7 linked regions of the Macaca fascicularis genome follow. The protein of the gene in region 6 interacts with the protein of the main gene of each other region in a pairwise test. Links are inferred from orthologs where the notes say so. Each region holds a gene or a part of one and is shown on either strand. Other genes may lie near its edges. The genes, in order: NKG7, SLC35H1, TMEM51, AQP5, UNC50, CREB3 and STX8.

Evidence for each region.
Region 1: the proteins of CREB3 (region 6) and NKG7 interact in a two-hybrid assay, tested with the Homo sapiens proteins (2 studies listed by BioGRID and IntAct). The two-hybrid records come from large-scale screens. The link is inferred for Macaca fascicularis from reciprocal best matches to the Homo sapiens genes CREB3 and NKG7.
Region 2: the proteins of CREB3 (region 6) and SLC35H1 interact in a two-hybrid assay, tested with the Homo sapiens proteins (2 studies listed by BioGRID and IntAct). The link is inferred for Macaca fascicularis from reciprocal best matches to the Homo sapiens genes CREB3 and SLC35H1.
Region 3: the proteins of CREB3 (region 6) and TMEM51 interact in a two-hybrid assay, tested with the Homo sapiens proteins (2 studies listed by BioGRID and IntAct). The two-hybrid records come from large-scale screens. The link is inferred for Macaca fascicularis from reciprocal best matches to the Homo sapiens genes CREB3 and TMEM51.
Region 4: the proteins of CREB3 (region 6) and AQP5 interact in a two-hybrid assay, tested with the Homo sapiens proteins (2 studies listed by BioGRID and IntAct). The two-hybrid records come from large-scale screens. The link is inferred for Macaca fascicularis from reciprocal best matches to the Homo sapiens genes CREB3 and AQP5.
Region 5: the proteins of CREB3 (region 6) and UNC50 interact in a two-hybrid assay, tested with the Homo sapiens proteins (2 studies listed by BioGRID and IntAct). The two-hybrid records come from large-scale screens. The link is inferred for Macaca fascicularis from reciprocal best matches to the Homo sapiens genes CREB3 and UNC50.
Region 7: the proteins of CREB3 (region 6) and STX8 interact in a two-hybrid assay, tested with the Homo sapiens proteins (3 studies listed by BioGRID and IntAct). The two-hybrid records come from large-scale screens. The link is inferred for Macaca fascicularis from reciprocal best matches to the Homo sapiens genes CREB3 and STX8.

The regions. Positions count from the first base shown.
Region 1 is NC_088393.1:59,178,279-59,181,384, reverse strand, and holds NKG7 (protein NKG7), read left to right. Parts: upstream 1-1,224; 5' UTR 1,225-1,410; coding exon 1,411-1,567; intron 1,568-1,638; coding exon 1,639-1,785; intron 1,786-1,871; coding exon 1,872-2,006; intron 2,007-2,108; coding exon 2,109-2,167; 3' UTR 2,168-2,606; downstream 2,607-3,106.
Region 2 is NC_088384.1:102,412,422-102,416,593, reverse strand, and holds the start of SLC35H1 (solute carrier family 35 member C2), read left to right. Parts: upstream 1-1,372; 5' UTR 1,373-1,874; intron 1,875-4,172.
Region 3 is NC_088375.1:220,127,676-220,131,621, reverse strand, and holds the start of TMEM51 (transmembrane protein 51), read left to right. Parts: upstream 1-1,146; 5' UTR 1,147-1,386; intron 1,387-1,416; exon of another isoform or gene 1,417-1,458; coding exon of another isoform or gene 1,459-1,711; intron 1,712-2,354; exon of another isoform or gene 2,355-2,546; intron 2,547-3,853; exon of another isoform or gene 3,854-3,946.
Region 4 is NC_088385.1:56,790,383-56,794,308, forward strand, and holds the start of AQP5 (aquaporin-5), read left to right. Parts: upstream 1-1,126; 5' UTR 1,127-1,272; coding exon 1,273-1,635; intron 1,636-2,740; coding exon 2,741-2,905; intron 2,906-3,356; coding exon 3,357-3,440; intron 3,441-3,926. UniProt on the Homo sapiens protein: Aquaporins form homotetrameric transmembrane channels, with each monomer independently mediating water transport across the plasma membrane along its osmotic gradient. Plays an important role in fluid secretion in salivary glands.
Region 5 is NC_088387.1:3,060,404-3,064,566, reverse strand, and holds the start of UNC50 (protein unc-50 homolog), read right to left. Parts: upstream 2,801-4,163; 5' UTR 2,700-2,800; intron 1,676-2,699; 5' UTR 1,672-1,675; coding exon 1,392-1,671; intron 657-1,391; coding exon 536-656; intron 1-535. Other genes in the region: COA5 (cytochrome c oxidase assembly factor 5), read left to right, coding at 3,020-3,118. UniProt on the Homo sapiens protein: Involved in the cell surface expression of neuronal nicotinic receptors. Binds RNA.
Region 6 is NC_088389.1:63,665,254-63,669,520, reverse strand, and holds the start of CREB3 (cyclic AMP-responsive element-binding protein 3), read left to right. Parts: upstream 1-1,467; 5' UTR 1,468-1,667; coding exon 1,668-1,796; intron 1,797-1,889; coding exon 1,890-2,040; intron 2,041-2,111; coding exon 2,112-2,179; intron 2,180-2,293; coding exon 2,294-2,383; intron 2,384-4,017; coding exon 4,018-4,124; intron 4,125-4,214; coding exon 4,215-4,267. UniProt on the Homo sapiens protein: Endoplasmic reticulum (ER)-bound sequence-specific transcription factor that directly binds DNA and activates transcription. Plays a role in the unfolded protein response (UPR), promoting cell survival versus ER stress-induced apoptotic cell death.
Region 7 is NC_088390.1:9,633,452-9,636,951, reverse strand, and holds part of STX8 (syntaxin-8), read left to right. Parts: intron 1-3,095; coding exon 3,096-3,206; intron 3,207-3,500. UniProt on the Homo sapiens protein: Vesicle trafficking protein that functions in the early secretory pathway, possibly by mediating retrograde transport from cis-Golgi membranes to the ER.

The sequences.
Region 1 (3,106 bases), on a different chromosome or scaffold from region 6:
TAACAAAAGCTGCCTGAGACTTGGTAATTTATAAAGGAAAGAGGTTTATTTGATTCACAGTTCAACATGGCTAGGGAGGCCTCAGGAAACTTACAATCAAGGCAGAAGGCGAAGGGAAAGCAAGGTACCGTCTTCACAGGGTGGCAGGAAGAAGTGCCAAGCGAAGGCAGGAAGAACCCCTTAAAAAACCACCATATCTTGTGAAACCTCACTATCACAAGAACAGCAGGGGGGAACCCGCCCCATGATTCAATTACCTCCACCTGGTCTCTACCTAGACATGTGGGGATTATGGGGATACAATTCAAGATGAGATTTGGGTAGGGACACAAAGCCTAACCATATCACCCTGTTTCACAGAGGCCAAGTTTTCCTGGGTCTTCTACGTGGGCTGTGGTACCTTCACCTTACACCTGCTCACGAGTGAGGTGTTGCCAGGACCTGATGTTGGTGTGGATGGAAGAGGCTAACGTTTCAGGGGCTGGAGAACCCTCGACCGAAATCCTTATGTCTCCCAACACCCCCTAGGCCTCCTGATCCTGGTGACAAAGGCCACCAGGCTGGAGCCCCCACCAAAGCAGAGATGCCACTGAACTCATTATATCAGATGAGGATGTGGGTATGTCTGCCTCTCTGCAAACCTTTCAGAATTGTGATTCTCTGCTGTTTACCTGCCCTCGGCATATGCTCCAAACTGCGGCCCAGGATTCTGAGCTCCCACCCGCCCCTTCCTCCCTCGGGACCTGGAGTTCAGGACCCCAGCTCCTTCCTCCTTAAGCCCCAGGAGTTCTAACTCCCAAGCCCCCTCCTTTAGTAGAGACCCTAGACTTGGGGCCTTCCTCTTCCAAAATGGAAGACTGCAGAACCCACAGGAAAGCATGACACATCGCCAACTGTCCCCTCCAGCCACATCTCCCCTCCCACTTAACGCATACCCCAGCCCGATTGGCTTCCTCCCACCTCAGGGCCCCCAAGCCTCTCTCTCTCTCACCTCTTCCAGGAAGCCCCAACTTGGTGTTGAAGGTTCCAGGGGTGGGAGCTGTAGAACCTGTGACAGAGGCAAGTTCTAAACCACCACCCAAACCACTGATGATCTGACACCCTCAGTGCCCTCCCCCACCACACACTAAGCGGGGAACCGGACCCCGGGGAGGGGAGGGAGGACGTTGCCTGTGCAATCCAGGAAGGGAGGGTATGTGAAAAGCCAGTTACCGGGAACTGTGTGAAACCAAACCAGCCTCATCTGACAAAGCACACGAACCCTCACTGCCCCGACTGCTTGCTGGTCTCTCTTTGTTGAGCTCCAAGGACCCAGGAGTCTGGGTGCACAGCCTCCTTCCCTCTGAGATTCAACAGTCTGATCAGCAGCCTCTTCCTCCTCCAGGACCCAGAAGCCCCGTGCTCACCCCCATGGAGCCCTGCCGGTCCCTGGCCCTGCTTGTGGGCTTCCTGGGCCTGATGTTCTGCCTGATTGCTTTGAGCACCGATTTCTGGTTTGAGGCTGTGGGTCCCAACGACTCAGCTCACTCGGGCCTCTGGCCAACGGGGCATGGGGACATCATAGCAGGTAAGGGGAATGGGTGTCCTGCGGAGGGGTTGCCAGTGGGGATGGGTGTTCAGTGGTCTTCTCTCGATCAGGCTACATTCATGTGACGCAGAGCTTCAGCATTCTGGCTGTCCTGTGGGGCCTGGTGTGCGTGAGCTTCCTGGTCCTGTCCTGCATCCCCTCACTGTCCACCCCAGGCCACGGCCCCCTTGTCTCAACCATCACAGCCTTTGCTGCAGGTAAGGACTCTGGACTGGACTGGGGCATCGGGAGTCAGTGAATTCCTGCCGAAGGGTTGAGCTATCTCTCTTGTCCTTGCCCCCAGCCCTCTCCATGGCAGTGGCCATGGCGGTGTACACCAGCGAGCGGTGGGACGAGCCTCCACACCCCCAGATCCAGGCCTCCTTCTCCTGGTCCTTCTACCTGGGCTGGCTCTCAGCTATCCTCTTGCTCTGCACAGGTGACTATCCTGTCCACTGCCCTGGGGAGCTTGGGAGGGCCAATAGGGGGCCCTGAGGATGAAGGGCAGGGGCAAGTGCTTAAACTCTTTCTGGCCTCCCAGGTGCCCTGAGCCTGGGTGCTCACTGCGGCAGCCCCCGGCCTGGCTATGAAACCTTGTGAGCAGAAGGCAAGAGCGGCAAGATGAGTTTTGAGCGTTGTGTTCCAAAGGCCTCATCTGGAGCCTCCGGAAAGTCTGGTCCTACATCCGCCCCACCCTTTCAGCCCTTCCCCAGCCCCTCCGCTTGTTTCTTCATTCATTCAACAAAATTTGGCTGGAATCTGGCTATTCTGAGATTAATTCTGCCAAGACCTAAGCCAACCGTCTGCCAGCTCCATGGTAGGAGCTGAGCACCAAGAGAAGGTGACAGCCCACGAGGCCGACCAGCCTGCAGGGCGCTCCTGCCCAGCACAACTGCCTGGCCTGTGTGGATACAGGCTCCAACCTGGGTCTATCTCTCCCCTTCTCCAGCACTTTTCTTTCTCCCTTTAGCTGGCTCTCTTTCCTTCTCTTTCCCTCTCTGATTTTGTACCCCTTGCCAAAACTCAGCCCTTCTTTGCACGCAGTCTCTCTCAGTTCTTTTTGCACATTTCCCCATGCTGGGGACACTAGCACGGGTCAGACCCAGGACCTGCCTGCCAGGGCCTCAGTCTGTGGGGTGGTGGGGAGGAGGCACTTACAGACCAGAAGCAGTTAATACAGGCCAGACAGCAGTCCCAGTGCAGGGAGAACACCAGAAAAAGACTAACCATATTGTGGAGGGATGGAGATGACTTTTCTGGAGAGAGAATGTTTAGGGGCTTCTTAAGGGCCAAGGAAAGGTAATATCCAGGCAGAGGGGCCTGAAGATGAACGTGCAGAAAAGTCAGGAGTCTTGTGGGAATGAAGAACGGTAATGTATGGCCAGGATATAGAATGTTGGGGGCAGGAGATGGAAAATGAAAAGGGAGAGGCAGGTGGGGGTTATGGCCTCTAATGTCATGCTGGATTTTCTCTTGAGCATGATGGGAAGTTGGGAAAAAATTGGAGGCAGAGGAGGGACAATATCAGCTCTGGGTACC
Region 2 (4,172 bases), on a different chromosome or scaffold from region 6:
TAAGGCATACTGTACACCCCCATGAACACATCCTCCCTCTTCTCCCTGCCAGGGACACAGCCAGGGAACAGCTCGAGTACTTGTGCCTTACAAAGAAGACATGCCCTTTACCCTGTGTGTTGCCTGTGCTTAGTGCCCAGCCTTCCAGCTGGTGTTTTAGGCTGTTGCTGCAAACCTTGGCCTTGGTAGCTGGGAGACTTGAATGAGGGTGGTGATGAAAATGGATACTTTCTCTTGCCCCTAAGAGAGAAGGGTGTGAGGACAAGCTATTTCAAAAGGCATAGAAAGTGTATGCAATACAAGCCTTGAGGACTGAATAAAGCCAAGACCTTGGGCAGTGATGGGTACCATTGTAGGTGCTTGGTAAGCACTGAATGAACTATGCCTGCATGATGCCAGCTGGCGGCGGTGACAGCAGCAGTTTGCACAAAACACTTACACTCTGGCCTTGAGCCTTCTGTTCAGAGAGGCCAGGGATCCCAGCTGAGTCACTTGTAAGGAGCCATGTTTGCAGCTGGTCTTACTGCCGGAGAGCCCAGGAGGCGGCTAGAGGAGGGCAAAAGGCACAAAACTGGGTCTGAATGTGCAACCCTAGCTTGCCCTGGCCCAATGTTCTCCTTGACTGTAAATGCTGCCCTTTTAATCCATCCCGCAAGATGAAGAAAATATGAACGCCCTAGGCTGGCATTTTGGGGCCACTGCAACCTGCCTCTTGACTACTTTAACCACCACAGTTATAAACAACCTGAGCCCCAGGCACGGCTGGAGGCTTCTCACCCTCTTTTAGGATTCTGCCATTTCCTCTTTCTGGGATGCTCTCCCCCTACTCAACCTATTGAAGTTGAGATAATTCTTAGAAAGTTTCATACAGAAAATATTTCACAAATGTTTCGTATTACTTCTGGATCGCCTAAGTTTTAAGTTGTAACGGCCCCAGCCGGCCTGAGCTCCCAGAAGAAAAAGCCCATGAGATACTTATCTTCGTGGTTCATTCCATGGTTGCCTAGCACTAGACTGGACATAAGAAAAACAATTTGTTCAGTAAAAGTAAACAAGTGACCATTTTTTGGATGCCCACTGTATGCAGAACACTAGCAGGTACCAGGGTTCCAAAGCAAGCCCCTGATTGAGCGCAGGAGAGACGCAATCACACTGCTGTGCTCTGAGCCTGAGAGACTCCGCGGAGGACAAAACTGCGCTGTACCCCAGAAGGACCCGACCACCTCAGAACCGGACCACAGCAGACGCCCCGCCCCTGTGCTGCCCCGCCCCGCCCCCGTGCTGCCTTTTCGCCCCGGCTCCGCCCAGCCCCTGGGTAGCTTCCGGCGGAAGTTACCGCCCCTGCCGCGGTTCGGCGGTGGCATCCGGCCTCGCACTTCCGGTGGGAAGATTCCGGCCGGGAGCTCACCAGGCCGAGGTGAGTGTGTGCGCGGCAGGCCTCCCGGCGCACTCCCAGGGGCTGGGGGGCCGGGGCTGGAGACGGGAAGCGGGCGCCCCGCCCGGGTTCTGCGCGGGTTGGCATGGGGCACGCCACGCCCCTGCCCCTCCCCGGGCCTTAGTTTCGCCGTCTGTGGAGGGGGCAGGGGTCTCCAAGCGCTCTCCTGCCGTGCTTCTGCCCGACGCCGGCTCATCTGGTATTTCTTGAGCACGTGCGACGTGCTGGGGTGCGGGACCCAGGCCGGAATCGGACACGGCTCTGCCTTCTGAGAGGCTGCTTCCCGCGGTGGGATTGGGGCGGGCAGTAAACACGTGAGCAAACAAGGAAACGTCAGAGGTGGGAAGTGCCACGAGGATTGGGAGGGGTGGGGCATTGGGGAAAGTATTCAGCCCAGCGGAGGTCTGCGGAAGTGTACTGAAGACATAAAGAACAGCAAGTAAAGAAATACGCAGGCTTGATGTGTTTGACACGTGGCAGGGGGCCGCTGTGGCGGGTGCTGGGGCCAGTGGCAGAAGAATGAGGTTGCAGAGGCCTTCCTTGTGGACCAGGCTGAGGAGCTGGGCTTAGCCTTAGGGCATGGTCTATTCTGTGTGCTTAGGCCATCTCTCTGGCTGCTTTATAGTTTCCAGGCCTTAGAGGCGAAAGTGGAAACAGGGAGACCAGCTAGACGAGTGGCAGTCAGCAGACTGTGGTAGTGGGAATGGAGAGGAAGAGAAGTAGAGGGGTCAAGAAGTGTATTGAAGGTGGAACTGACAGGGCAGGATTTGAGAAATGACGGAAATAAGTGGCCAAAGATGATTTCATCATAGATTTTTGGTTTTGGCTTAAGTAACCGAGTGTATTATGCTGGCATTTACTAAATGACTCTGGGATAGATTGGGAGCGTGAGAAATAATTATGAAATCTTTTTAGGGCATCTTAAGTTTTAGATATTTGGAGTGCAGCTACCAAATAGGCAGTTAGATAATACTAGTCTGATGCAGAAAAGGTCAGGGCTGATGTAAAGAATTTAGAAATCATTGGCAAGTGGATTGGGTAGGATAAGATTATATAGGGTAAGATTTGAGAGAGAAGAGAAGCCAGGTTCCAAGCTTTAGGCACCCAATTTTTATAGATTGAGTTGACAAGAAGGTGCCAGCAAAAAAGGCCAAGAAAGAGTACAGAAAAGCAGAAGAAAAACCAGGAGAGTGTGGTATCGTAGCACCTAAGAGAAGATTTTTTCTAGGAGAAGGAAGTGATCCATTGTGTAAGATAAGAATAGAGACTAAGCCGGTGGGCGAGGTGGCTCACGCTTGTAATTGCAGCACTTTGGGAGGCCAAGGTGAGTGGATCACCTGAGGTCGGGAGTTCAAGACCAGCCTGACCAACATGGAGAAACCCCGTCTCCAACTAAAAATACAAAATTAGCCAGGCGTGGTGGCACATGCCTGTAATCCCAGCTACTCAGGAGACTGAGGCAGGTGAATCACTTGAACCTGGAAGGTGGAGGTTGTGGTGAGCTGAGATCGTGCCATTGCACTCCAGCCTGGGCAACAAAGAATGAAACTCCATCTCAAAAAAAAAAAAGAATAGAGACTACGCCTTTGAAGGGGCAGCAGAGAGGAGGGTGTGGTGACTCAGTGGAGCAGTAGAGATGGGCTGAAGTGAGGGCAGGGAGTGCATGAGTGGGGCTGGCAGTGCGAGGCCTTCTGGGGAAGTTTCACTCTTAAGGGGACCAGGAGGGGAGTAAGCCTCTATCATGAGCCAGCATTTAATGCTGTACCTGATGCCACTTTACAGTTGGAAAAACTGAGTCCAGTGGTCAAGTAACTTAGGGTCACAGGGACACCAGGATTTGATTATCAGTCTCTAACTCCAAAGCCCACACTCTTAAGCGCTAAACCATGCTGCCCAAGTTACAGTTAGAAAGATTGAGGGAAGCAGGTGCGACAGTGATGCACCAGCCAGCCTTACCTTGATGTGACTGCTGCCTCCAGCTAAGCTGCTCTCTGTGGAAAGTGGGGCAGAATATGGACTTTGTTTCCTGAGCAAATGAGATTTCAAAAAGAGGATTTACTCCTTTAAATCTTGTTTCCCTTATAAAATAAGGGTGGGGACCTTCAGTTTCATGTCTGTGTCTCCAGTGGTAGGCCTACAGGAGCGCTTAATAAATGCCCATTAAGTGCCTAGATGATCTCCAAGGACCCTTCTAGCTGAGATTTGGCTTTGTGTCTGTGCACAGGTGACCTTCTGAATCCCAATAAGAAAATGAGTTAACTTTGAGACGTGCTTCTTGTAGGCGGGGTAGCCATAGGGGCTTCTTGGAGGCAAGGGACCTGGGCCAGGTCTGTGAAGGAAAGTCAGCATTGAACCTCTTTTTTATTACAAATATTTTGTAACAGTCCCTTTTATTACCCTAAAATGAAACATATGATTAATAAAAACAGCCTACACATAATTTTTGAAAAATCAACAATGCGACCGGGCATGGTGGCTCACACCTGTAATCCCAGCACTTTGGGAGGCCAAGGTGGGCGGATCTCCTGAGGTTGGGAGTTCGAGACCAGCCTGACCAACATGGAGAAACCCCGTCTGTACTAAAAATATAAAAAATTAGCTGGGCGTGGTGGCGCATGCCTGTAATCCTAGCTGCTTGGGAGCCTGAGGCAGGAGAATGTCTTGAACCTGGGAGGCGGAGATTGCAGTGAGCCGAGATTGCACCATTGCACTCCAGCCTGGGCTTCAAGAGCAAAAC
Region 3 (3,946 bases), on a different chromosome or scaffold from region 6:
GCCTGGGCCTCAGCTTTGGCTGAGAATTTCGTCAGCCACTCCCCAGATCAGCCAGGGTGAGCCTGCTTAAATGGAACACTTTGAAGATGATATCCTGTGATACACAAGACCTGCCCAGTTGGGTCTGCAGCAGAGTGGGGCGGGTCTGGGATGATCCTGGCATGGAAAAGTACAGCAGCTCTTTGCCTTCAGATTAGGAGCTGGGACTGCAGTTCTGACATTATCACCCTCCTGCCCCCACCCCAGGCCTCTCCAAAGTCCGTCTTGCAGAGTCAAATGAAAACCAGATTCCTGGTCTTATCTGAGAGCTACGTGACTGTTTCCTGTCACTCCTTTGGAGCCTGGGAAGGTCCCCACATGCATTGTCTAAACTTTAGGATGAACACACACAGCTCTTAAATGGGAGCGTATTATTATAAGTACATGCCTACACAAAGGGTTCTCCCCATTCACTAAAATCATGGGTTATTATTTGGGGCTTTCATTCATCCAACAAATATTCATTCAGCATTTGCAGGTGGCCAGGCAAGGTGAAACTTCTCCCAGCGTGGAGAGTATGTGCAGACAGTATGAATTATGCTATGGGAGGGAGAGCAGAAGCTCTGGAGTGGACCAACCTAGGTCTAGATCCTGACACTTCCCAGCCGTGTTTTCATTGGGCAAAATGACCTCACCTCCTTCAGCCTCAGCTTTCTCTTCCATAAAGTGGGCATGACCAATAACCACCTCCCAGGTTGTGAGGATTAAATGAGATGGTTCAGGGGATGTCGGTGGTAACCCCGTGCGTGGTTCATAGTAAGTAGGTGAGGAATAGCAGTTGCTGTTATAGACATGGAGACTGTTTCCCCAAATGTCTTCCCACCCCCAAATCATAAGGCAGATCCAAACTTGCCTTTTTGTGGACGCCAAGGTTCTGTTGAGCTGTTAGGGTGCAAGTTAAGGAGCCAGAATAGCGGGGTGGGGGGAGAAATGCCCACATGTTTCCACTCTGCAGGTATACACACGTGGACACCATATGTACCCATGAATTCCGCCTTTGGAAGTGAACTTGATTGCAGCCTATTTTCGTCTGGAGGCGGTGGATTCCCGGTAGGAGGCGCCTTCGGTCCTCGGCTCGATCCTGTGACGCCCGCCAGCTGCCTATCTGCTTCTCAGTGTTTGAACTCCAAAGGGCTAGACGCTCACCCAAGAAGGGGACCCCGGCCTGACCTCTCTCGGAATTCAAAAAAATCTAAGGTTGAGCGAGGGAATGGGAGCTGGCTCTTCCCTCTGTGTTTAGAATCCACGTTTTTTGGCGGTCTGGCTGAAACCAGCCCACCCTAGTTCGGGCGCCAGAGCAATGCGGTTCCGAGGGCAAATCTCCAAGGGGCGGAGGCAGAACCGCGGGTAAGAGGCGTCCGCGCAGACTTCGGGTTTGCCCTCCCCGGAGCCAGGACTCGGCGGCAGCTCTGGGCCTCCATGGATCCGAACAGAGACTGGCTGCCCGTCTGCCACTCGCGGGCTGGGAGAACGCCAGCCGGTGCCTTGCCGGGAAAGTTCTCGGCAAAGCTGGGGATGAGCCCTCAGCAGGGGAAGCTCCCGGTGGAGCGCGCCCCCATCCAGTGCCCGCGCGCAAGAACCCGAAATGGGCCCCACCTGGACGGGGACTCAGGCGTGCGAGCCCGAGAGCTCCCTGGGGACCAGGCATCAGGTGGGGACCCTGGACGAGGGGGTGAGCTGACTCGGTTTTTAAAAACTTGCTTCCTCCTTCCCTACTTCTGCCCATCACTCACCTCGCTGGGCACCAGCCCAGGGCAGAAGTGGGAGAAGGAGGCGGTGGCCTCCCCAGGAAGGAGGAGAGGTGAGTGTCTCGCCAGGTAAAGGCTGGCGGAGCTGTGCCTCGGCGTCTGCACCTGGTGTGGGACGGAAGCGGGTCTCCCAGCTCTACTTAAATCCCTAAAACCTGGGACTTCTGGCTTGAGACATTCCCCGACCACCACCCGTCACACACACGCGCGCACACACACACGCATGCACACCGATTATCTGGGCCCTAGGGAGGATGGGGGAGCAGGGCTCTATTTTCTCCCGGCCCCATCTTATCCAACTCGGCTGGCAAGGGTGGGGAAGAACTTAGGCCCAGCCCCCGGCCCGCACTCAGCGTACTCCAGCGGCGGACGCTGGGGAGTGGGTGCCCGCCCTGCTCAGCTGCGATCCCTCGCCTCGGGCCCGGGGGTGGCGCCGAGGGCCGGGAGGTAGGGTCGGCCGGTGGGCGGTGCTTCTCGGGGCTGGAGGCTGCTCCCGGCCGGCGCCGCCCTCCTCCTCCCGCGGTCCCTCCCTCCCTCACGCCGGCGCTCCCAGGCCGCGCTTCCTGCGTCCCCATCGCGGTCCCCGAGAGGGCAGTTCGCTCTCTCCGCCACCGCGTTCCCTCGGCTGAGAATCCTCCGAATCCCAGCCCCGCGATCGCGGCGCCCCCCGAGGAGGCCGCCCGGGTGGGGCGCGGGGGTCGCGAAGCCCCCAGCCCCGGGCCGCCCAGCCGAGACGGAGCCGGACCCGCCGCCTCCCGGGTGAGTCTGAGCCGCCGCGCCTTGCGCCCGCCGCTTCCCGCGGAGCGCTGTGCGTTCCCCTCCGGGCCGGGTAAGGGGGCCGAGGCCCGTCTGGGTCGCCTGTCCGTCCGTCCGTCCGTCCGTCCGCCGAGTGCTTCCCGTCTGGGGTCGACCACCTGGAGGACTCCGCACCCCGCACCCTCTGCGACCGCGCCCCGCCGGTGCGGGACACTCCCGCCTCCCGGGCACCGCGCCCGGCCAGCTGGCCTCGGCTGGTGAAGGCAGCTGGCCTTGGGGGCCCCCTGTTGGCGGGGACAGGTGCTCTCCGCCCGGCGGGCTTCGAACCCTTGGCCTCGTCAGAAGCGCTTTCAGCGCGTGGTTAGGAGCAGAAATTCCTAGTAGGTCCCAGGAAACCACCTTGGCGCTTTGCTCGCGCATCCCTTACTGTATGGAAGTCGGGTCCTTTTAGGGATTTAGATTCGTGTGTGTGTGCGTGTGTGTGTGTGTGTGTGTGTGTCGCTCTACAAGCAAACACGGGGGTAAAGAATCTGGCGTGAGCAAAGTGGATTTAAAGTCCTTCCCTGAGCGCATCGATCGCTTTCTTCATCTGTGAAATGGACATGATAACGTCCCAGGGTGCGGCGGGGCATTCATGCCGAGCACCCAGCAAGCACTCCGCGGTAAGTTCGGTTACGCATAAATCTGATCTCAAATCAGCGCACAAACGGGAGGCGGTTGGCCCGGCGTGCCAGGTCTGCATTACAGGATAATGGTCTCTTTCCCAACCAGGGGTGGGGGCGAGAGACCTGACCCTTCCCCCCACGGTTTCCCCAGGGATCAGCCCTGGGGTGCCCTGCGCAGCGTTCCGAGGTGCCTGTGACGGTGCGTGGTACTGCAGGTCCTTCCCAACAGAGCTGGAGGTCTGGCTGCTGGGAACCCGGGCGCTGCCGGAGTGGTGTGGCGGGGACGAGGTGGGCGGGGCCGGGACCCGAACCGGCGGAGGTGGGTCAGCGGGTGGAAGGATTGCCCCTCTAGGGCCTGCCGGCTTCTGGCTTTCCTTTTGAATGGGTTACCTGGAGAACAGCTTGTCTAGGGAACTTTTGGCCCTGGAACCGTGAACAGCTTTCACACCCCGGAAACCTGTCGCAGGAGGGTCCTGACCTATTGGGACAGAGCCCCTGTCCCTTCAAATATCTCACTCCACCAATTGACAGGTACCCCCAGACTAGGAGAAAAGGCCAAAGAAAGAGAAAGAGAGGAGGCTGCTGGTGAATCTGCTCCTCATGGCTTCGGAGCTGACAGCTCCCTGTTCGGGTATCTGCCTCCCTGTTCGGGTATCTGCCTCCCTGTTCGGGTATCTGGGGTCTGCCCCACTGATCCAGAGCCCAGGAGTCTCAGGGAGCCCCTAGCCGAGGGAGGAA
Region 4 (3,926 bases), on a different chromosome or scaffold from region 6:
TGAGAAAGAGACCTACGGAGAGAGACCGGAAGAGGCTGGCAGAGGTAGAGGAACAGAGACTAAAGACAGAGACAAAAAGAGAAACAGGATTTTGCAAAGACTGACTGGCAGAAACAGATTTCGAGGGGAGAGAGACCAACACCAAGTGAGGGTTTGAAGGAGACCGAGGGGAGGTGGAGGAAGAGAAGGAGAGTCTTAGATCCGGGGTGAGGGGCTTCTAGCAGGAAGAGGGGAGACGCCAAGACCGCGCTTGGGAGGTCAGTGGTGCGCCTCTACCCTCCCTGCTCTCCCACTCCCATAGTCTCAAGGCCTCGCCTCACACCCCCCTCCCGTCAAGACGACAAGGGGAACCCGGCCTGGGAGAGGGCGCCTCCAGGGGTCCATTGCCTAGTGTAGGTACTGCCCAGCTACCGGGCGTCGAGGATTGCAAAGCATCGGGGCAGGCTGGCACGGTGCCCACTTTTCCCAAAACGCCAGCCTTCCAAGCCCAGAAGCTCGCCCGGCCCAGGCCGGGAGCGGCCCACGACGGCCGGCCGGACCGCCCTGCAGGACCCAGCCCGGCCGCCCGCCCCCGCCGCCGGCAGTGAGGGAGGTGAGCGGCGCCGACCTGCGGGACGAGCATCACTCCGACCCAGCCGGGGGTAAGGCGGGTCAGGATGCTCCGGTCGCAGGAGGAAAAGGAGGAGCTGGACCAAAAGCCCGAAGAGAAGAAAAGGGGAAACCCGCGCGCGGAGCGCGGTAAAGGCCGGCGGAGCTAGACGCCCTGAGGTAGGAGCTAAGCGCCGGGACCGAGCCCCGTCTCCCAGGGAGTCCGGAGCGCACGGCACCGAGGAGCGCGGGAGCCAACCTGGGCGCATCATGCGCGGGGTCCGGGACACGGGGCCCGTCTACACCGCCGCCTGGGTCACGTGGCCCGGACGGGCAGGCGGCTGCCCGGCCCGGGGGGCGGGGGTCGCGCCGAGGTTGCGCTGGGCGGCGGGGAGCGGCGGGCCCGCGGCTGCCGGGAGCCTCCCAACCCGTGCGCAGCGCTGGCCCCTGAGCGTGGGAGCCGCCCCCTCCCCCCCCGCGCCGGCCCCGCGCCCGGCCCCCCGCCCCCTATATAGCGCGCCCCAGCAGGGCCCGCGCCAGGCCGCCAGCCTCGCAGTGGGTGCGGGACAGAGCGCGGCGCCACCCAGCCAGGCCCCCGTCCCCGCCGCCTCCACCTCGTCAGCCGCCTGCGACCCAACGGGCGCCCCCCGCCGCGGCCGCCGCCGCCGGGCCCCCGCGGCCACCATGAAGAAGGAGGTGTGCTCCGTGGCCTTCCTCAAGGCTGTGTTCGCCGAGTTCTTGGCCACCCTCATCTTCGTCTTCTTCGGCCTGGGCTCGGCCCTCAAGTGGCCGTCGGCGCTGCCCACCATCCTGCAGATCGCGCTGGCCTTTGGCCTGGCCATAGGCACGCTGGCCCAGGCCCTGGGACCCGTGAGCGGCGGCCACATCAACCCTGCCATCACCCTGGCCCTCTTGGTGGGCAACCAGATCTCGCTGCTCCGGGCTTTCTTCTACGTGGCGGCCCAGCTGGTGGGCGCCATTGCCGGGGCCGGCATTCTCTACGGTGTGGCACCGCTCAATGCCCGGGGCAATCTGGCCATCAACGCGGTGAGTGCCCTGGGGGGATGGGAGTCGCGACCCTGAGGTGGGCTCAGGACCAGGCCTCTTACCTCACCTGGAAAAAGGGGTGTCATAGAGTGGTCCAGCCCACACCCTTCACCAGGAAGGCAAGAGCCTCCAGAGGCCAGGAAGGCGACTCTCCAGGCTGATGTGCGCCCCCTTCCTGCCCACCTCCTCTGCCCCCCACCACATGCTGGCCCACCCTGGTCTCTCTCCAATGCCTGCTGCCCCTCCTTTCCTGCCAGAAACTTCTGCCGCCTCCTGTCTCACCTTTGAGCCCCACCTTCCTCCTGGGCCCCTCACCTCTCCCATCTCCTCAGGGGAGCGTTTGAGTAGAACCACCAGAGAGAAGCGGGCTGTCATCCCGGCTTTGGGTGACCCTGGCCTGTCTGTGCTTCATTGTTCTCAGCCCCTCCATGGGGATGGTAGTGCCTGCCACAGCAGGTGTCAAGGGGCTCACATTTAGAAACCACAGATAGGAACCCCCTAACGTGGTGCCAGTGCAGAGCAGTCTCCGTTGAGTATTGGTTTCCGCTTTCCCCAACCTGTGCTCCTCCCCGCAACCCCACATCCCTGCCTCCCTCCCATCTCCTGCAGCCCCAGAGTCAGCCCCCAACCCCATGCAAACTGGGTTCATTAATCAAACACAGAGAAGGATTTGCTTGGCCATTGTCAAGCCGTGAGTCAGCCGCACTGGAGAGACGGGTTTAAGGTTGGCACTGGCATGGGGCCAGACACGGGCAGGAGGCGGGGATGGGGTGTGAAGCAGGCAAACCGGGCAGCTGCCCACAGGATGGAGGGTAAATGCCAGCTTATGGGGGCTGGGGGTTGGGCAGAGCCATTGATAGGACCATGTCCAGGAAAAGCTCCCCTGAAACTCTGCCCTTTGGCTACAGGCCTGAGCTTCAAGCCTGTGCAAACTGTGAAATGTAGTGTCTTTAACAAATGATTTCGCTGGGGTGATGTCCACGGGGCTTGGCTTCCAGGTGTCAAGCTGCTCTAAGTGTCCCTGAATGCCAAAAGCCCTGCTCCCAGAGCCCCTGGCTATACTGCCAGAAGGTGGCCAGGCTCCTAACCCGCCATCCCCTTGCAGCTCAACAACAACACAACGCAGGGCCAGGCCATGGTGGTGGAGCTGATTCTGACCTTCCAGCTGGCACTCTGCATCTTCGCCTCCACTGACTCCCGTCGCACCAGCCCTGTGGGCTCCCCAGCCCTGTCCATTGGCCTGTCTGTCACCCTGGGCCACCTTGTCGGGGTGAGCAGTACTGACACTGGGCTGTGGTGAGGGTGGGGCAGGCACTCAAGGCAAATAATGGAGCCCCAGAGCGGAGCCCACTTCAGATTGATGAGTCCAGCAGAGTTTAAGACCTGGATTTAGGGCTGCTGGACTCTGGCCCTACTGGGCCCCAGAATTGATCCCCCCAGAACCTCTGGGCTGAGGAAAGATGGGAGTAAGTAGGAGGTGGGATGGGACAGGAATCAAACCCAACCTCAGAGCAGAGAAGAGAAGAGGGCAGCGTTAAGGGTCCATGGTTAACCGGGCAGCTGGGATCCTTGGAGGGAGGGGTTGCCAGCCCAGCAATCAGGAGACCTGAGTTTGAGACCTGGCTGAGCCCCTGGACTGCAGTGTAACCTTGGGAGAGTCCAGGTTCTGTGGGAGTGGACTGGGATGTTGCCTTTCTCTCCACCGCCCTGTCTCTATCCAGATCTACTTCACTGGCTGCTCCATGAACCCAGCACGTTCTTTTGGCCCTGCAGTGGTCATGAATCGGTTCAGCCCCGCTCACTGGGTGAGTCTGTCCCCTCCCCTGGCTCCCTGGAGATGAGGGCCTGGAGACCCAGCAGTGGCAGCTCAGAGCTCACCACAGAATCTTCTGGATTCTGTGGGCCCAGAGCTTGGGGGTGGGCCAGGGAGCGGTGGCTGAGAGAGAAAGGGGATGGGATTCAGCCACAGGGGCAGAGATGGCTTTGTATGGCCTGAACCCCTGGGGACAGGGAGTATAAGTATCTGTCCCCTTAGGGAAGAGGCTGGAGGTGCAGGGGGGCTCTGTGTCAATTCCTTTGAGGATTTGGTGTCTGTCGCTCTGGGTGTCTGTGTGCTGGTCCTCTCTGATGTTTTATTTATCTGTCCCTGTTGAGGGGGTTGGGAGAGTCTTCCTGTGGGTCTGTCCCTGTGGACAGTCTGTCTGCCCCCTCCTTTGAGAGCTCATGGTCACTCTCTCCAGGGTCTGTTTCTATCCCTATGTGGAGGGGAGAGGTGCTCTGTTCATCTCTCC
Region 5 (4,163 bases), on a different chromosome or scaffold from region 6:
TTAGTAGAGACGGGGTTTCACTGTGTTAGCCAGGATGGTTTCGATCTCCTGACCTCGTGATTCGCCCGTCTCGGCCTCCCAAAGTGCTGGGATTACAGGCTTGAGCCACCGTGCCCGGCTAACAATGTACTTCTTACACATGGTGACTGATATCTCAAGTCTCCTTAAAATGTGTAAGAGCAAGCTGTGCCCCGACCACCTTGGGCACATGTCCTCAGGACCTCCTGAGGCTGTGTCACCGGCGTGTCCTTAAACTTGGCAAACTAAACTTTCTAAATTGAGACCTATCTCAGATATTTTGGGTTCAAAACATAATTATTTCAATTATTTGCTATATTTGACAATATAAACCAGTCTTTATTTTCTGATCTAGGTGGCAACACAGGAGGGCAAATTGTAATAATCTTGGCAGTCAAAATCGATCATTCAGTGACTCTACCTTGGTTTCAATTTCCATCTGCTGCCATTGTAGCTCTGAAGCAAACAAATGGAGATGCTACAACAGTATCTGAAAAACCAAAGTTATGGTACTTACCACATTAAAGTTGCTATCAGAAGACCAACGCCTACACAATCTATGAATACAACCCAAAGGAGAAGCTTTATTGTCTCAAAGAATCCCATGTCCAGCACAAAGCCAAATCCTATAGTGGACACTGAAAGAAAGATTCACAAGATTCATTTAGGGACTCGGCTAGGTTCTGGAAATACAGAACACATCCCTTGCCCTCCAGATGCCCAGGCTAGTGGGAGAGACAGGTCTGTACACAAAACTCCCAAGATGTGTGAACACCACCTTGGAACAAAGCGTGGCCACTGAGAGAGTTGGAAGTTTCCTGAGGTGGGCCCCTGCCAGGCTGATTCACCACGGTGGCCTCAGTATTTAGAACGCCAGTCTAGAGAAGGCACTAACATACCTTAAGTCCAGTTAAGGTGCAAAACACCCTGTAAACTTCAATATCTTACCCACCTCAACACCCTACAGGTAAATGAGACCCTTGCATTATGGAATTGGAGAACTTCAGTTTCTCAGGTTCACATCAATACTTTTACAATTCTCACTCTGGATTTGCCTGACTGAAATGCAATTTCCAGTTTCATATTCCTTTTCACAGTCAGCTGCATACTGGTTCACAGTAGTTGAAAAGATATGGAGTGAATTTCGTCCCCTGCTTTTCAATGTCCTAGGGTAACAGTTTACTCTGGTATCTGCTTGGGACCTGTAGAACCAAGACTACGACTTTCTTTCCTGTGAGATTTTTGAGGCTTCAGTAAAAAGGAGAAATAGTTTCCAATATTTCCAGATTCTGACCCACAACACATTTATAACAAATAAAAAGTCTAATCAGAAACGCTAAGCGTTCAATTCTGTCTCAGACACACACACTTACCACAGAGCCAGACACTTAACAGGACCAAGAAAGCAGGGTCATCTCTGGCCCACTGGTCCTTCGTCTGTTTTCGATAATGAAAATTTCTGTAAACTCTCTGTGGGGATGTGAACAGGTAGAGCATCTGCCAGGCAGCAAATTCAAAGTCCATCTGCCGAAAGCGGAAAAGCCTTCTCAGATATTTGTAGCGTTTCGCTCCGGCTGTGTGTCTTGCTGCATCCCTGGAATTCAAGACTCCGTTCCCCTGCACTGAGGAATTCACTGAAGTACTCGGTAACATCTTCCTAGATGGAAGAAAAACATTTCTTTTACACGTATGCTGAAGAAACTTTTGGCTACGGGCACCCCTCTTCTGAGTTACTTGGCAGGGAGGTCACTTTCCATGTTCTTCCCAACCCTAGAGAAAGGCCAGGAGTCAAAAGCAAATGCAGTTGGTTCTGAGGCGGGGCTTGGGGCTTGGGAACCGCAGCCTGCAACCTCAGGCAAGGGCAACAGCTCACCCTTCTCAATCACTTAATAACACATATCCAGGGGCAGCTACCATCACAGAGACGGGGATGATGTGACAGCCCCATGACTCCAAGAAGAGTGATAGAGCCAAGATTCCAAATCTGACTCGAAATTCCGTGCTCTTAACCACCAAGCTTTTAAGAAAATAACTAAGAAAGCAATGTTTCAGCCGGTTAGAACAGTGTTACCGAAAAGGTAAAACAAATGGCCTATTCACATAGATCCATCAGCGCACTGCCAGCAAGCTCCTCGGTCACTAGAATGAGATTAAAAACCAAGCAAAACTCCGATCCCTAGTGTTTTACATCCGGAATAGGTCACCAGAGGGAGCGGTAGCGTCGGAGTCCAGTCCAACCGGTCCGAGCTCCGGGGAGCGCCGGCCACTGCCCGGCTGCCCGTCTCCCCTGCACTTCGCAGGCCCCCGGGACGCCGGCAGCGCCTGACCGGGCCCAGCTGCTCCCTCCCTGCCCGGGGCCGCGGATACGGCCGCCAGGTTTAGCAAATAAAAACAGAATGCCCAGCTCCGTGTGGAGTTCAGACAGGCCACGAATAAGGTTTTAGTACGCCTACATCCCACGCAACATTTCGGACATGCTAATACTAAATGCTCTTTATCTATGATGCAAAGGTAACTGGGCGTCCTTTCATTTTATCCGCAACTCTATCGCCGGCCGCGGGGCCGGACGCCGACATGGTCACTGTCAGGCCGCAGTGATATCAGGTCGCAAGCTGTCGGGATTAAATGGCCCCCGGCGCGAACCCGGGCTGCGGGAGGACAGAGCGGTCCTCAGGCCTCACCTGGAATCCTGCTACAGCCTCGAACCGCGTCCGAACCAGCTCACCACCTCCTCCCAGCAGCCGAGCCCAGCCGCCACAGGGCGGGCTTCCCTTCCCGCAACGTAGCCGGCGCTTCCGGCGCGCCCCGTCACGCGCACCCACTTCCGTCGCGCACGCGCCACCTCTCGGCCCTGTAGTCCTCGGCCCGACAGCCGCGGCCCGCCGGAAGTTATTGCCGCTGGCTTCCGGCCCGCTGAGACTGGGGCCTCGCTTGCTCCCGATCCGGTCGCCACCGTTGCAGTGGAAGAAAGTAGAGTCCGCAGCGGACGGGAAGCGCCGTCATGCCCAAGTATTACGAGGACAAGCTGGAGAGCGGCGCGTGCGGAGGCCTGAAGGAGGACCTGGGCGAGTGTCTGCTGCAGTCGGACTGTGTGGTCCAGGTAGCGCGGCCGGGCGCTCCCGGTGGTGACGACGCCTGCCCCGGGGAGGCCCGGCTCGGCGGAGGGCAGCGGGTCGCCCGCGGCGGCGGTTGGAGTTAACCATCCCGGGCGGAGGTCACAGCTTGGGCTCACTGAACGTGCGCAGATCCGCTGAGCTAGTTCCCCGTGGGGTTAAATCGGAGATAACGATAAACCCACCCTGTCGGGTTTTTGCAAAGATTAACCCATTTCAGTTCACGAAGCGTGTATTGCATGCTAGCACTCTGCCGGGTTCTGGAGACATAAAGGAGAATAAGCCGGGTTTCTTGCCTGCCTAGAAATGATGATCTGCAGAATTAATGATTCCAGAGAGTTGTGTAAACCTGGTACACTGCCCTGGCCAGTCGTGTCCCCTGCCCGTTCAGTTGTGACTGAATGTGTGCTCAGTTTGCCTTGTGTTGATATGAATTTGTTTCTGAGTTACAGTTCTCTGCATTCTTGGATGTTAAGTTGTAAAAATAAAGCAACTCCATGTTTTCACGATTTGGTATCTTGCTTCCCCTACGCTCTTACTTTACTCCCCTACTACAGACACAGGTCTCCTCAGCACCCTCTCGGAATGCACTGAGGCATGTAGTGAGGTTCAGAGTGGACCTGGGTTCTGGTTTTAGAGCTCAAATAAACCACAAGTGCCTTTTCCAGTTACAGAGGCCCGACCAGAGGGCATTCAATTGTGTGCGGTTATCTTTGCATTGGGAGATGTAGTTCCAGAAAGTTGCTGTTATTTCAGAGAAAAGATTACCCCCAAATGGACATCCACTATAGGGCCGTATTAGTGTTTCTGCCGAGTCACAATTTTATGTTTGGTTCACTGATTTTAGCAGTCGGCCATTCTCGCCTCCCAAGGTCTAGTAAAACTTGAGTTATTATAAATTTAAGAGATTATCTCGCCCAACTTCCTTATATAAATGAGGAAACTGAGGTACCGCTGTTTTCAGGCTCCCCTGTCCGGGGCTGTGTCCCCTCTGCCCCGTATTCACTGGTGCTGCCATTCAGCCAGCTCCTG
Region 6 (4,267 bases):
GAAATTAGTTTGTTATCTCTCTGGGTGAAAAGAAGCCCCTGTAACTACACAGGAATAAAGGACTTCCCTACAAAAGAAGGGCATTTACCTACTGCCAACCTCTTAAATTTCATCTGCTCAAGGCCAACTATGCTAGCCTCAATTACAACCCCTAAAGTTGCCCCAAATTCCTAACATTAACCCCACCTCTAATTTGTTTCCTGATTCCCACTACCGGCTTGGACATTCATCCCTTTCCCAGCAGAGACTCATATCCAATCCCTGATCCCTGATACTGATCTAAGTTTTACCTTTAGCACCAAATCGCCTGATGTTAACCCTAAATGTTGACCCCTAAGCCTAAAGTTCATTTGTAACTTGATTCCTAACTCACACTTTCACTGTTTATCCTTAATACCGACCATGTCAACATTCTTTAATCCCTCAAACAGGCTCTAACCTGATTCCTGTTGTTGACCCTTAACCCGACCCTGAACTCAAATTATGACGTATGATGGCCATCCCAGCAAACAAAATAATGACCTTAATCTAAACCTTACCTACCTAAAACGGACCTGACTCACACTACTAACTCTTAAGTTTTAACCCCAGCTTTTAACTCCTATAGCGACCCTTGATTCCTAAACGGACCCCACCTAATCCCCAACTCACCCAAAGCTTTCCTACCCACATGGCCGCTATCAGCTAACACCAAAGCCCGTCCCCGTCCTGCGCCCCGCTGCCACCCGACTCCTCACGCTCCCCAAAGCCTATCCCAGGCAGAGGACTGCCCCCAGGAGAGGCCTGTCTCCCCTAAGACGGCCTACTTCACGATGAGCCCAAGTTGAGATGCGCTGGACGCTGACCTCTCCAACTAACAGAACCCGAACCGGACACGCAGGAGAGGCAGGGCCCCGCCCGCCCCCGGGGCCAGGCTCCGCGGCCCCACCCTAAGGCCCCCGCCCGGCCCGGTCTGGCCTACCTGCGCTGCCCGGCTCTGCGCCCCGCCTGCCGGCCCGCCGGCCCGCTGCCCTGCCGCTTCTCGGGTCGCCCTCGGGCTCCGGCCTCGCCCTCCCTTCGACACTCTCTCGGCCACTTCCGTCCTGGGAACGTCCCCCACCCGCGGGCGGCGCCCTGGGGCAGCGCTCTATGGTCGCGGGGGGCAGGCAGGAAGCTGCTCTGGCCGCGTTCTCGATGCTCGGGGGCCGCCAAAGGCCGGCAGCCCCTCCCTGGCAGGAAGCGAGGGTGCGGCGCAATCCGGAGAGAACGCCAAGACGACGCCCGAGTTCCCTTTCAGGCCAGAACTCTTCCTTTTTCTAGCTTGGGGGAGAAGGCGGAGCCGGAGCCCTGGAACCCCCGCCCTCGGGGTGCGAGGCGGCAGCAGGGCCGTCCCCTACATTTGCATAGCCCCTGGGACGTGGCGCGGCACCCAGGCCTCTTCTCAGTTGGAGGGAACTCCAAGTCCCACAGTGCCACGGGGTGGGGTGCGTCACTTTCGCTGCGTTGGAGGCTGAGGAGAATTGAGCCTGGGAGGCGGGTCCGGAGAGGGCTACGGAAAGCCCCCGGCCGGGAAGCCCGGCCGTAGAGGGACAGTGGATAGGTGCCCGAGGCCTACAGCTGGCCTGGGGCTCGTGTCTGGGCTTCGGACGTTGGGGCCCGGTAGCCCACCCTTTCCGTAGTTGTCCCAAATGGAGCTGGAATTGGACGCTGGTGACCAAGACCTACTGGGCTTCCTGCTAGAGGAAAGTGGAGATTTGAGGACGGCGCCCGATGAGTCCGTGAGGGCCCCACTGGACTGGGAGCTGCCGCTTTCTGAGGTGCGTTGGGGTTCTGACTGGGGAAAGCGTGGGATGTCCATGAGGTCAGGGGATGGTGATAGGTCAAGGCCTGTTCACTGGAACCCTGCGCAGGTACCGAGCGACTGGGAGGTAGATGATTTGCTGAGCTCCCTGCTGAGTCCCCCAGCGTCGTCGTTGAACGTTCTCAGCAACTCCAACCCCTGCCTTGTCCACCATGACCACACCTACTCCCTCCCACGAGAACCTGTCTCTATGGATCTAGGTGAGTCTGAAATAAGTTTGCGGGGAGGACAGGGTTCATGGGCCTGGCTATTCATACGTTCCCTTTTGCAGAGAGTGAGAGCTGTAGAAAAGAGGGGACCCAGATGACTCCACAGCATATGGAGGAGCTGGCAGAGCAGGTACTTGACTTGATTTTCAGGAAGATTACTCTCACATTCCTCAGGTGGGGGCAGGATTCCCCATTCCTCTGTGACATCCCCATGCAACTGCCGCCCACTTTCTGGTTACCCTAGGATATTGTTAGGCTGGTACTGACAGATGAGGAGAAGAGTCTATTGGAGAAGGAGGGGCTTATTCTGCCTGAGACACTTCCTCTCACTAAGGTAAGACTCTCGTTAGTTGAGCAAAGGCTGAAAAGGGATTAAAAGTCTCAAGTAGGCCAATTCTGTTAACTTTATATCAATAACTTTAAAAAAGGATTGAGGTGAGAAACTTAGCAGATTTATTGCTAATAGGAAGTTGAGGCAGGTACCCAATATGCTAGATGCAAGGCAGATCCTCATTTTCGTTGGGCTTACACAAATTTTGGTGTTCTGTTAAAAAACAAACAAAAAAAAACCCTCAAAATTATCAGTGCAACATTAGTATTGGGCCTTGGAAAGGACTGTGTAAGTGAAGGGCCTTGACACTTCATTGGCTTCATAGTAATCCACCTCTTGCTGAATGGTAGAACTGTTTAGAGAGTTCAACACGATTGGACTAAGCAGTACATGAATAAATGCAAAATCCTTAGTTTCCAGTTTTAAGCAATCAGTGGCAACTTCACAAGCAGAGTACTGGGATACTATGATGAAATCAGTGCTCATTAATAGAAAGGTTCCAGGAATTTTTTTTTTTTTTTTTGACAAGGTCTTGTTCTGTTGCACAGGCTGGAGTGCAGTGATGTGATCATGGCACACTGCAGCCTTGAATTTCTGGGCTTAGGTGATTCTCCCACCTCAGCCTCCTGAGTAGCTGAGACTACAGGTGCACACCACCCTGCCCGGCAAATTTTTTTTTTGGTGTTTTTAGTAGAGATGGGGTTTTGCCTTGTTGCCAGGCTGGTCTTGAACGCCTGTGCTCAAGTGATCTACCCACCTTGGCCTCCAAAAGTAAAGAATTTTAATTCCTTCAAAGTACAAGATGAGTCAGCAGTGCGATGTGGCTACTAGGAAAGTTAATGGGATTTGGAAACTGTAGCAAGAGTTATTGTCTCCACAAGTCACTATCTTGCTTTCCTTTATACTGGCTAGAGCACATCTTTGACAGATACTAAGAAGATGCAGTCTATCCTAAGAAGATGAGTTAAAATTTTTGTCTAAGCTGTTTTTTTCTTGAACTTTTTTTCTCTGAGGAAATGTCAAATGCCTGAAAATAGCTTAACAGGGTTCATTCTATTTGGCCCCAGAGATACTAGGTAAGTCCAACGTATAGAAATTATAAGGAGACAGCTGTTGGTTCAGGATAAGGAAGTTTTTGTTTGAAGACAGATTCTTGCTTTACTGCCCAGGTTGGAGAATAGTGGTGAGATCATGGCTCACTACAGCTTTGACCTCTCAGGCTCAAGCGATTGTCCTTCCTCAGCCTCCTGAGGAGCAGGGACCACAGGCATGTGCCACCACACCCGGCTAATTTATTTTTAGTAGAGACAAGGTCTCACTGTGTTGCTCAGGCTGGTCTCAAACTCCTGGGCTCAAGCGGTCCTCCTGCCTTAGCTCCCCAAAGTGTTGGGATTACAGGCATGAGCCATGTCACTTGAATATTGCCTGACCAATTTTTTTTTTTAATAGTTTAAAATGGTCTGGCTTGTTAGGGTTAACACGTGCTCCGTGGAGGCATTCAGAAAGAATGTGAATGCCTATTGGTCAGGGAAGCTGTAGAAGGGATTTCTGTATTGGAAAGAGATGGATCTCAGTTGCCTTTCAACTTCTTGTTCTAGAGTCCCTCTAATGATACCCCTTTCCCTGTTTCCTTTCAGATGGAGGAACAAATTCTGAAACGTGTGCGGAGGAAGATTCGAAATAAAAGATCTGCTCAAGAGAGCCGCAGGAAAAAGAAGGTGTATGTTGGGGGTTTAGAGAGCAGGTATGAAAGGGAGAGGGACTCAGTTTTAAGTGTTAGGTTTTTGAAGGGAGGACACAGGCCATATCCCCATATCTTTGTTATTTCCCCCAGGGTCTTGAAATACACAGCCCAGAATATGGAGCTTCAGAACAAAGTACAGCTTC
Region 7 (3,500 bases), on a different chromosome or scaffold from region 6:
CACCTCAAGGTGGAGAAGTCCCCGGAATGTTTGGTGGAAAAGCCGTGAGCTAGGGTAGAAAGACCTGGGCTCTCACCTAGCATTGCTGTTAACCCATGCAAGTGACTTAGCCATGCTGGTCCTTAATTTTCTGGTCAGCAAAACAAGAGAATTGGGATTAAGGCCTCTTCTAGCATCTACTGTGTGGGTTTCCGTCCTTTGGTTACTCATCGACAAAACATCATCATCAAGTTTTACTGTTTCTGAAACTGATGTTCTTTGTTTAAATCTGTAACTAGTATCTGCTGATTTTAAAATGTACCTTTATTGTTTTTATTACAAAGCGTATTATACTTTCTACTGATACATTTCTCATTAGTTGTTCCCAGTGACTCCTCTTTCTCTTCCTTATTCTTTTCTGTCTCATCTCATTCTTCATAGTTAAGTGTTGATGGTTGGTAGCTAGTGTCTCAGGCTTTTCTAGGCTGGAAATATATGCATATGTAAATAAGAAATTCTTTTGACTATAAAGGGATTGTATTATACATATGGTTCTGAAGCTTGTGTTTTTATTGATTAGCAGATGATAGAGACAAACATTAGGAAACAATATTCAGTGAAACATCAGTCTCCCTTATACCCTTAATCCCTAGTTGTCTTTCCTTAGAGGCAATGTTTATATATCAGAAATGTTCTGTGTATATATACACACGTATACAGATACGATTTTTTTTTTTTTTTTTAACAAAGTGGGAGCATACTGTTCACTGTTTAGCTCCTTGCTGCTGCTGTTGTTTTTCCTCTTTTGGTTTAATGTTATATTTTGTAGATTACTCCATGTCAAATAATTCATGTAAACACTTAGTAAGTGCTCAGAAATGTTAATTATCATTATCAGCCCCCTAAGCAGCTTTCCTATTCTTGGTTTAAGGCTACAAAACATTCCATTGTACAGATACACTAGTTACTTACTGATATTTCCAGTGTGGCTATTATAAATAATAGTTCAGTGGACATCCTTGCTTCTAAGTCCTTGTATGACTGTATCTGCAGGAGAAATGTCTGTTGAAAGACTGTACCTTTTACATTTTGTTAGGTATTTAGAAGGCAGTTTAGCAGTTGGTTGAACCTGTTTGCATTACTATCAAGAATATATGAGGCAGCCGGGCGTGTGGTGGCTCCCGCCTGTAATCCCAGCACTTTGGGAGGCCGCGGTGGGTGGATCACTTGAGGTCAGGAGTTCGAGACCAGCCTGGACAACATGGGGAAATCCCATGTCTACTGAAAATACAAAAATTAGCTGGGCATGGTGGCGTGCGCATGTAAGCCCAGCTACTTGGGAGGCTGAGGCAGGAGAATCGCTTAAACTCCAGAGCTGGAGGTTGTGGTGAGCCAAGATCATGCCACTGCACTCCAGACTGGGTGACAGGGAGACACTGTCTCAAATAAAAAAAAAAAAAAAACGGAAAAAAGAAAAAAGGAATGTATGAGGTCAGGTGAAGTGGCTCATGCCTGTAATCCCAGCACTTTGGGAGGCTGAGGCGAGCGGATCATGAGGTCAAAAGATCGAGACCATCCTGACAAACATGGTGAAACCCCGTCTGTACTAAAAATACAAAAATTAGCTGGGCATGGTAGTGGGAGCCTGTAGTCCCAGCTACTCGGGAGGCTGAGACAGGAGAATCGCTTCAACCCTGGAGGCGGAGGTTGCAGTGAGCCGACATCACGCCACTGCACCACTCCAACCTGGAGACAGAGTGAGAATCCATCTCCAAAAAAAAAAAAAAGTAAACACTTTTGTACTTTTGTAGTTTGCATCAAGAAAGCTAGTATGTAAAACTTTGTACTTAGTCCAAGGGTAGCGGTGCCGGTTGTTGACAGACGCCACTTCCCTTTTTGCTTCATGCGCGCCTCTGCGCACGCGCCGCACTCTCGTCCACCTATTGGTGAATTGTAGGTTTCTTTGCGAAGACTACATTTCCCAGAAGGATGGTTTTTGGTTTTAACCACCACTTATGAACTGTTGTGGAAAAGATGTTAGAGATTATCTAGTGTTACATATAAAGAGAGAGAGATCCAAAAAGGTGAAATAACTGGTTCAAGAGCATAGATAATGGTAAGAATAGGGCTACAACTCTGCCTTTGGGGCTCCTGGTCTAGCATGTTTGCTAGAATCACACATTAAAATTATTCTCTTTATAATTTTCTTTACAGATCATGCAATGTATTTAAATAGTGAACTGATGGTAACAATTTATAGAGCAAATCTGGTGCATAAAGTAGCACTTTATAAATATTCTAGGTGTGTTAATAGATATTAACATGGAAGAAAGAGAACAATATAGAGAATTTCTCTCCCCCAGCGCTCCCAGTTTTTTAAACAGAGCATCTTAGGGTATTAATATGTAGGAAAACGCCCTGCAACACTGACACATATAACTCAAAACCTAAGGAATCACTGAGCCAGGTTGCACCACTGGCAGGAAAAGTCATTTAAATTTGGTCACTGGGACTGGGCATGGTGGCTCATGCCTGTAATCCCAGCACTTTGGGAGGCCAAGGCAGGCAGATCACCTGAGGTCATGAGTTCAAGACCAGCCTGGCCAACACAGCAAAACCCTGTCTCTAATAAAAATACAAAATACAAAACTTAGCTGGGTGTGGTGTTGCATGTCTGTAAGCCCAGCTGTTGGGGAGGCTGAGGCAGGAGAACTGCTTGAACCCGGGAGGCAGAGGTTGCAGTGGGCCGAGATCGCATCATTGCATTCCAGCCTGGGTGACAGAGCGAGACTCTGTCTCAAAAATAAATAGTTTGGTCACGGGGAGCAAAGTAATATTTACCTGGTATGTTTCTCAGTGAAAGAACTTGTGTCGTGATCCATATCAGTGTTTGTAAGTCCCTCTGTGATGGTCCTGCCAAGGTCCTTTACCTGATGACCTGATGAAGGTGAAAGTCAGAGTAGGAAAACCACAGGAGTGAAATGGTGAGCATCCCTTCTGGGTAGTAGTGATTACAGTCTGTAAAAGCCACAACTGACTTGAAGAGCTAACTTAATAATGTAATAGTTAACACGAGGTCATTTATTCACCATTGGACCTTAACAAGATGTCCGCAGAACACAGCTTGAAGGGGACCGAAGACAGAACCTGTTGGATGATCTTGTAACTCGGGAGAGACTACTTCTGGCATCCTTTAAGAATGAGGGTGCCGAACCAGATCTAATCAGGTAGGATGTTTTCATTTACAGGGATTACTTGGTGGGCGAAGACTTCTTTGCAAATATTACAGCTATTTCCTGAATGCCTTACTTTAGGCATTAAATCAATCAAAATCTATTCTATTCATTTATGGTGCTGGACTATAATATTCTACTCAATTTAGTTTTCGTTAATTTTCTAGGTTTAGGAAACCAGGTATGTTCAGCTGAATCCCATCTTGGGTGGAACATACTAAGGGAGACTGTGGGTGAAGTCAGAACATGTCTTTGGCATTCTTTGGTTGAATTTTCTGCTTTGTTAAC